Macaca mulatta: one gene and its partner. The protein of the gene in region 1 purifies or fractionates together with the protein of each later gene. This does not show direct contact. Links are inferred from orthologs where the notes say so. Each region holds a gene or a part of one and is shown on either strand. Other genes may lie near its edges.

The links.
Region 2: the proteins of AKAP5 (region 1) and PRKACA purify together in Homo sapiens (affinity purification with mass spectrometry; 6 studies listed by BioGRID and IntAct, with this or other methods). This does not show direct contact. The link is inferred for Macaca mulatta from reciprocal best matches to the Homo sapiens genes AKAP5 and PRKACA.

The regions. Positions count from the first base shown.
Region 1 is NC_133412.1:137,558,446-137,562,846, reverse strand, and holds the start of AKAP5 (A-kinase anchor protein 5), read right to left. Parts: upstream 2,855-4,401; 5' UTR 2,754-2,854; intron 1-2,753. UniProt on the Homo sapiens protein: Multivalent scaffold protein that anchors the cAMP-dependent protein kinase/PKA to cytoskeletal and/or organelle-associated proteins, targeting the signal carried by cAMP to specific intracellular effectors.
Region 2 is NC_133424.1:14,678,731-14,682,376, reverse strand, and holds the end of PRKACA (cAMP-dependent protein kinase catalytic subunit alpha), read left to right. Parts: intron 1-1,063; coding exon 1,064-1,228; intron 1,229-1,616; coding exon 1,617-1,742; 3' UTR 1,743-3,164; downstream 3,165-3,646.

The sequences.
Region 1 (4,401 bases):
AGGCATATTTTCCATATAATAATGAAATGACTGGAGAATAAACGTTGGGGTTTACTTTGGCCCTATTAAAGAGTTCAATGTGGTTCTATTGTTTTATCCTCTTTGTTGAAACTTCATTTTGGATTACCCTGCAAGTCTGATATTATTAGTTCTTTAGTTGTGTTGTCTGTGTGAATTGCTTATGGCTCTAAAGTGCAAATTAAGCAAACAACAGGAAGAACAAAAAATGAAGTGCAGGATGAAAAACAAGCTAATGTATTTTTTATCACACTCAATAAATAATTTTAAAGCTGCAAAGGACTTTAGAGATTATTTGAGATTACTCAAATCCAGCCAGATGACAAAACTGAACTCCAGAGGGGAGCAATTGTCTTGTTAAAAGCCATGCAGCTAGATAAGGTCATAGCCAGAGTTAGAACTAGAGACTTTGACTCTCTAGTTTTTCCATTATAACATAAGGTTTCTGTTCTAAAAATGTATGTTCCATCAAGGAAGTGCTACTTTTCATACATATTCTTAGGAAAATTTAGCATTACTGTCATTTCCCACTCTTAAATTAGTTGTATAATTTTGACATTTTCATTTAAGTACTGTATTTGCTGTATCACATGTTTCCACCATAATCTGCACATAGTTGGAGGTCAGTAAGAGTAACAATAGCTGACATTTATTGAGCAATTCTTGGGTATTAGGCGGTGCACACACTTTTACATACATCTGTAATCCTCACCACAGTATTACAAAGATGGTGGTATCACCATCTACAGATGAAGCAATTTGGCTGAGATTAAGGCAGAGCTGTAACAGAGCTCAGATTAAACAAAAGATTGCTTGTTGCTTAAAGCTTATGTTCTGAAACTGGGCTTTAAGAGTTTCATCAGAAAATGGATTGTTTGGGGATACTAATCTGCAGTATATTCATTAGTAAAAAAATTTAAAAATTGATTAATGGTCATTTAATCACAAGGCACTTATCAACTCATAATTGAACCAAGAGTAGTCTGAGTTCTTGTTATTTGAAAACCAAGCTTTTGAAATTCTTTAAGCCGGGCACGGTGGCTCAAGCCTGTAATCCCAGCACTTTGGGAGGCTGAGACGGGCGGATCACAAGGTCAGGAGATCGAGACCATCCTGGCTAACACGGTGAAACCCCGTCTCTACTAAAAAATACAAAAAACTAGCCGGGCGAGGTGGCGGGCGCCTGTGGTCCCAGCTACTCCGGAGGCTGAGGCAGGAGAATGGCGTAAACCCGGGAGGCGGAGCTTGCAGTGAGCTGAGATCCGGCCACTGCACTCCAGCCTGGGCGACAGAGCCAGATTCAGTCTCAAAAAAAAAAAAAAAAAGAAATTCTTTATATTTTGCTTTTTCGGTTCAGGAACTAATTTAACAGCCAAAAATAGGTTGATAAACTATGCAATTGGCAAACTGTTAGATAATACAAAGGTGTATTGAAAATTTAATCCTCAGAATGGTATGATGGTACCAAAGAATGGAAATGGGAAGTGATTATCTAACAAAGATCCTATGAATTTTAGTGGGTGGATGCCCTAAAATAAGCAAAGGGACTCATTCTTTATATTGTTTTTATGTAAATCCTTCACTGAAGTTTCATGTGGGTAACCCATAATTTTATGAACTGTGGAAAGAACTGGAACCCTGAAAATCAGTTTATGATCTAAGTAAATATTCTCTTAGGTTGGGTGTTTCATACTGTATGCCTCTAACAGAAAGATAAAGTCATTCTAGAACAATGACGGAACTAAAATATGGACATTTGACAGTGTTTCTCCTCACATTTATATTTCAGTGAGCACTAGAACCTCAGCTGATAACTCTGTTTAAATCTTCTCACCTCTTGTGAGTTTTCAACACCTGAGCACTTTTGTTAAGCAGAGGCTGTATTACCACATAATAGAAATATTGAAATGAGATGTTCAGGAGTGTATCATTTGAAACTAACGTGGATTGCGCAAAGACAATGGTTTGAGAAGCTCACTTGAATGTGTCTCACACACTAGAAATAAAACGAATGCCCAAACAGAAACTTAACTGAAGGGGGAAAATAATGCAGTCTGTAGACATTAAAACTTTGCAGAATGTCAGACTGCAAAGGATTCGCTCTTAACCAGCAAGGGTAGCTTTATCGCCTCAGGAAATCTTAAAGTCCCTGTGCTCATTTCCTGATAGAATTTCAAGTCTCATGTCACAGAAAACACTCCCTTTCCTTTTTCCCTTAAGCAGCAAAGAACATCCACTACCCGAGGAAAGCAATGCATCTTTCCCAGCACCAGATATGGACCACGAAGGTTCCTCCTGGAGGAAGGAATCTCGAATTCTAGCTTGACGCCCCTTATGGCAGGAGACAGAGCGCAGGATAAAGTACTCAAAAAGGAAAATGCCGGGGGCGTGGAACAGATAACCCAGCTTCAAGCTGTCTGCAGAATTATAATGTAATGGCCAGAAACCCAGAATCACATTTCGCAAAGAGGGATAAAGAAGGAAAAAAGCCACCGGCAACCCATGCTTCTAAGACAAGCTGTAACGCGAAGGTGATAGGTGGGCAGACCTGATGAGGGTCGTCCTGGCCGCGGATTCCTGCGGACAAGCGACCTCCCGCGTTCTTACTCCCAGCACCTCAGGGGGCTCACATCCCCCATGTCCAGTGGGCGCCTCTTGCCCACTCCGCGGTCCGCTGACCGGACACTGCCCCCGACCCTCCTCTCCAGCAGGCTCCCCGCCCTGCCTTTACTCACGTAGGGCGTCGGGGTCCTTGGCCAACACTGTTCCCAAGGTGGCGGCGCGCTCGCGGGGCCCGGCGCCCAGGCCTCCAGGGAGCCGAAGCAAGGCGCCCTCTGCAGAGCCCGCCGCCGGGTGCGCCCCCTCCCCACCGCGCGGGGACAGACAGCCCGCAGAGCCAATGCGAGCGGAGCGGAGCCGAGCGGGCGGGCAGGGGCGTGGCGACGCGGGAGGCGGGGGGCGGCACGGAAGCCGGGACCCACCTGCAGCAGCAGCCTGCCTGCCGCGGGGAAGGCCACCGTGCTCCGCCTGGGCGCCAATCTCCGCCGCCAGACTACATTATCGCCGAGGCGGGGACCGCGAGAGCCAGCCGAAGGCTCGGGGAGGGGTGGGGGGCGGAGGGAAGGCGGGGAGCGGCCAGGGCAATGAACCCCGCGTTTCTGAGACGCTAAATGGTGAGGTCCAGTTTCAAATTATAGACAGTCCTGTTACACATGTCCTCTCCTCCCCCTCAGAATATTTAAAGACAAGGCAGACATCGCATTTTAAAAGCAGGATTCAAAACTGTGTATGGAATAGCGAGGTCATTTTTGTTTGAAGCGAAAATTACATATAGAAATGGAAACAGAAAGAAACCCGACTTTCTCAGGAGTGACTTGAGTATAAGATCATCGTAGGCCGGGCGCGGTGGCTCAAGGCTGTAATCCCAGCACTTTGGGAGGCGGAGACGGGCGGATCACGAGGTCAGGAGATTGAGACCATCCTGGCTAACACGGTGAAACCCCGTCTCTACTAAAAAATACAGCCGGGCGCGGTGGCTCAAGCCTGTAATCCCAGCACTTTGGGAGGCCGAGGCGGGTGGATCACGAGGTCAGGAGATCGAGACCATCCTGGCTAACACGGTGAAACCCCGTCTCTACTAAAAATACAAAAAACTAGCCGGGCGTGGTGGCGGGCGCCTGTAGTCCCAGCTACTCGGAGGCTGAGGCAGGAGAATGGCGTGAACCCGGGAGGCGGAGCTTGCAGTGAGCCGAGATCGCGCCACTGCACTCCAGCCTGGGCGACACAGCGAGACTCCGTCTCAAAAAAAAAAAAAAAAAAAAAAAAAAAAAAAAAATACAAAAAAAAAGTAGCCGGGCGAGGTGGTGGGCGCCTGTAGTCCCAGCTACTCGGGAGGCTGAGGCAGGAGAATGGCGTAAACCCGGGAGGCGGAGCTTGCAGTGAGCTGAGATCCGGCCACTGCACTCCAGCCTGGGCGACACAGCGAGACTCCGTCTCAAAAAAAAAAAAAAAAAAAGATCATCGTGGTTCATCGCTAAACAGGCTCTCAGACCTTTGTCTCCCAGTGGGAAGCAGGTGGAGGTGATTCGTGCAGAACTTTGGCCTGCAGGAGCAGCTGCATCTCTATGCGGACAAGGCGAGAAAGGCACAGCAACCCAGCTCCATCCATCTTATATCTTACATAGTTCCAAAAATAAGTTGAGGTAGCTTACAAGTTACCCATGATTCCCTTCAGGACATTCCCTATGAGGGCATTCCTGGGAGCTCCAGCTGTAAAATCCAGTAGGATCCATCACAATCCCAGCCTGCTCCTCAGGCCCTCACAGCATAGCATCCAGATGAAGAACCTGGTAAGGTGCAGTGAAGAACTACTGAAAAGCAGCC
Region 2 (3,646 bases), on another chromosome or scaffold:
CAGAGTGTATGGGGAAAACTTTCAAGAAGAGTCGAGCTGCACTTTAAAGAATGGAAGAGCCTTAGCTATGCAGAAAGAGAGGAGAGAAAAAGTTTGTCATAAGCATGAATATTTCAGAAGTCTCTGAACCCCAGCAGAGATGCCTTCAGCAGCAGCGGCAGCAGCAGCAACTGAGAATACAAGTTCTAGAGTCCAGTAGACCTGAGATGGAATTGCCCCATCCCATGCCTCAATGTGACCTTGGAAGAGCTGTTTAACCCTTCCAAGCCTCAGTTTCCCCTTCTCTGAAATGGAAATCATCATAGCACTTGCCTTAAGAGCAATGGTTCTTAAAGGGGACCCCTTTCCAGCATCACCGTTGCTGGGGAATTTGTTAGAAATGCAGATTATTGGGCCAGGCACGGTAGCTCACAGCTGTAATCCCAACACCTTGGGAGGCCGACGCAGGTGGATCACCTGAGGTCAGGAGTTCAAGACCAGCCTGACCAATATGGTGAAACCCTGTCTCTACTAAAAATACAAAAATTAGCCAGGTGTCGTGGCGTGAGCCTGTGATCCCAGCTACTTAGGAGGCTGAGACAGGAGAATTCCTTGAACCCAGGAGGCGGAGATTGCAGTGAGTCCAGATCGCACCACTGCACTCCAGCCTGGGCTACAGAATGAGACTTTTTTTTTTTTTTTTTTTAATGCAGATTCTTGCTGGGTGCGGTGGCTCACGCCTATAATCCCAGTACTTTGGGAGGCCAAAGCAGGAGGATCGGTTGAGCCTAAGAGTTCTAGACCAGCCTGGGCAATATAGTGAGACCCTGTCTCTACAAAAACTTAAAATAACTAGCTCTTGAATTTTTAAAGTTTTTAAAGAAATGCAGATTCTCAGGCCACAGTATCACTTCCTAAATTGGAAACTGTAGTGTAGGCTCAAGGAGCTGTTTTACAGGATGCCAGCAGGCACTCAGCTTTGGAGGCCCCCACCCAGTAGGACTGTTGGATGGAGAAAGAAGCCTCATGGGCTCCCCAAGTTCCAGACCAGCTTCCCACCCTGTCCTTGTACCCCTTCCTCCAGGTGCGGTTCCCTTCCCACTTCAGCTCTGACTTGAAGGACCTGCTGCGGAACCTCCTGCAGGTAGATCTTACCAAGCGCTTTGGGAACCTCAAGAATGGGGTCAATGATATCAAGAACCACAAGTGGTTTGCCACGACTGACTGGATCGCCATCTACCAGAGGAAGGTGGGTCTCCCCTCCTTAAGCTGCTGAGGGTTTGGGAGCAAGCCGCGAGTCAGGGAGGACAGCCAATAGAGAGAAAGAGAAGAGAACACAGGTTCAGGAGCAACCTAGAGTAGAGAGCTTAGAGCAGTGGGGTCTAGAAATGGGATTCTGGGGTCATTTGGCCATTCCATGACCTTGTGCAGCAGATGCCTCTCTGGGAAATAATTTCCCCTTTGATGAGTTGGCTACATTAAGAGTTTCAGGCTGTTAAGAGGAATCCATAACCTAATGGGAAGCACAGGCCTGAGTCAGAGTAAATATCTCTTGAATGTTAGGCCATTCGCATTTATTGTTGTAATAATGATTATGTTGAATGCTGAGGTCTGGGTGATTCTTGATCCCTCTCCAGGTGGAAGCTCCCTTCATACCAAAGTTTAAAGGCCCTGGGGATACGAGTAACTTTGACGACTATGAGGAAGAAGAAATCCGGGTCTCCATCAATGAGAAGTGTGGCAAGGAGTTTTCTGAGTTTTAGGGGTGTGCCTGTGCCCCCATGGATTTTCTTTTCTTTTTTTTTTTTTTTTTTTTTGGTGGGGGGGTGGGAGGGTTGGATTGAACAGCCAGAGGGCCCCAGAGTTCCTTGCATCTAATTTCACCCCCACCCCACCCTCCAGGGTTAGGGGGAGCAGGAAGCCCAGATAATCAGAGGGACAGAAATATCAGCTGCTCCCCCTCATCCCCTTTGCCCTCCTGCCCCCTCCCCCACTTTTCCCTTCCTCCTTCCCCACAGTCCCCCAGCCCCTCAGCCCCACCCAGCCTACTTCTGCCTGTTTTAAACGAGTTTCTCAACTCCAGTCAGACCAGGTCTTGCTGGTGTATCCAGGGACAGGGTGTGGAAAGAGGGGCTCACACTTAACTCCATCCCCCACCCACACCCCCATCCCACCCAACCACAGGCCCCACTTGCTAAGGGCAAATGAACGAAGCGCCAACCTTCCTTTCGGAGTAATCCTGACTGGGAAGGAGAGATTTTTAGTGACATGTTCAGTGGGCTGCTTGCTAGAATTTTTTTTTAAAAAACAACAATTTAAAATCTTATTTAAGTTCCACCAGTGCCTCCCTCCTTCCTGTACTCCCACCCCTCCCATGTCCCCCCATTCCCCAAATCCATTTTAAAGAGAAGCAGACTGACTTTGGAAAGGGAGGCGCTGGGGTTTGAACCTCCCCGCTGCTAATCTCCCCTGGGCCCCTCCCCGGGGAATCCTCTGCCAATCCTGCGAGGGTCTAGGCCCCTTTAGGAAGCCTCCGCTCTCTTCTTCCCCAATAGACCTGTCTTCACACTTGGGCTTTGAGAGCCAGACAAAGCAGCTGCCCCTCTCCCTGCCAAAGAGGAGTCATCCCCCAAAAAGACAGAGGGGGAGCCCCAAGCCCAAGTCTTTCCTCCCAACAGCGTTTCCCCCAACTCCTTAATTTTATTCTCCCCTAGATTTTAATGTCCAGTCTTCCCTCAGCTGAATGGGAAGGGCATCCCTGCAAAAGGGAACAGAAGAGGCCAAGTCCCCCAACGCCATGGCCCGGGGTTCAAGGCTAGAGCTGCTGGGGAGGGGCTGCCTGTTTTACTCACCCACCAGCTTCCGCCTCCCCCATCCTGGGCGCCCCTCCTCCAGCTTAGCTGTCAGCTGTCCATCACCTCTCCCCCACTGTCTCATTTGTGCTTTTTTCTCTCGTAATAGAAAAGTGGGGAGCCGCTGGGGAGCCACCCTATTCATCCCCATATTTCCCCCTCTCATAACTTCTCTCCATCCCAGGAGGAGTTCTCAGGCCTGGGGTGGGGCCCCGGGTGGGTGCGGGGGCGATTCAACCTGTGTGCTGCGAAGGACGAGACTTCCTCTTGAACAGTGTGCTGTTGTAAACATATTTGAAAACTATTACCAATAAAGTTTTGTTTAAAAAAAAAGTGTCGCTGGTGTTCTCGACTTCGATCACCCACCCACACACCCCCAGGGGGTTGGAAAGGGAATTTCGGACCCCAGAGTGCAAGCCGATCAGGTCCCGGCTTGAAGTCCTTGTAAACAGGGTTTAGCTGAAATTCCGGCACTCCTTCGGCCCCGCAGGAGAAACGAGCGTCAAACTGCCCTCTGACCCCAGATTCGGGATCCCCAAATCTGCAGCGCGCCCCCTCGGCGTCCAGCCCGGGACCGAGAGGGCGCTCTAGGGAGGCGCTGGGGCCGGCGCGCCAGAAGGCCGAGCGGCAGCGGGGGCGGCCCTGGCAGGGGGAGTAGAAGGGGGAGAGGGTGCGCGCCCCCCTCCCCTCATCCTTAGCGCCGGGCCAGGCGCGCCTGAGGGACGCGGGGGCGGCGGCAGCAAGAGGGTCCCCGCAGCACCCTGCGAGCGCGGCAGCCCCGGCCCGCGGGCGGCGAGTTCCCGGTAAGTGCGGTC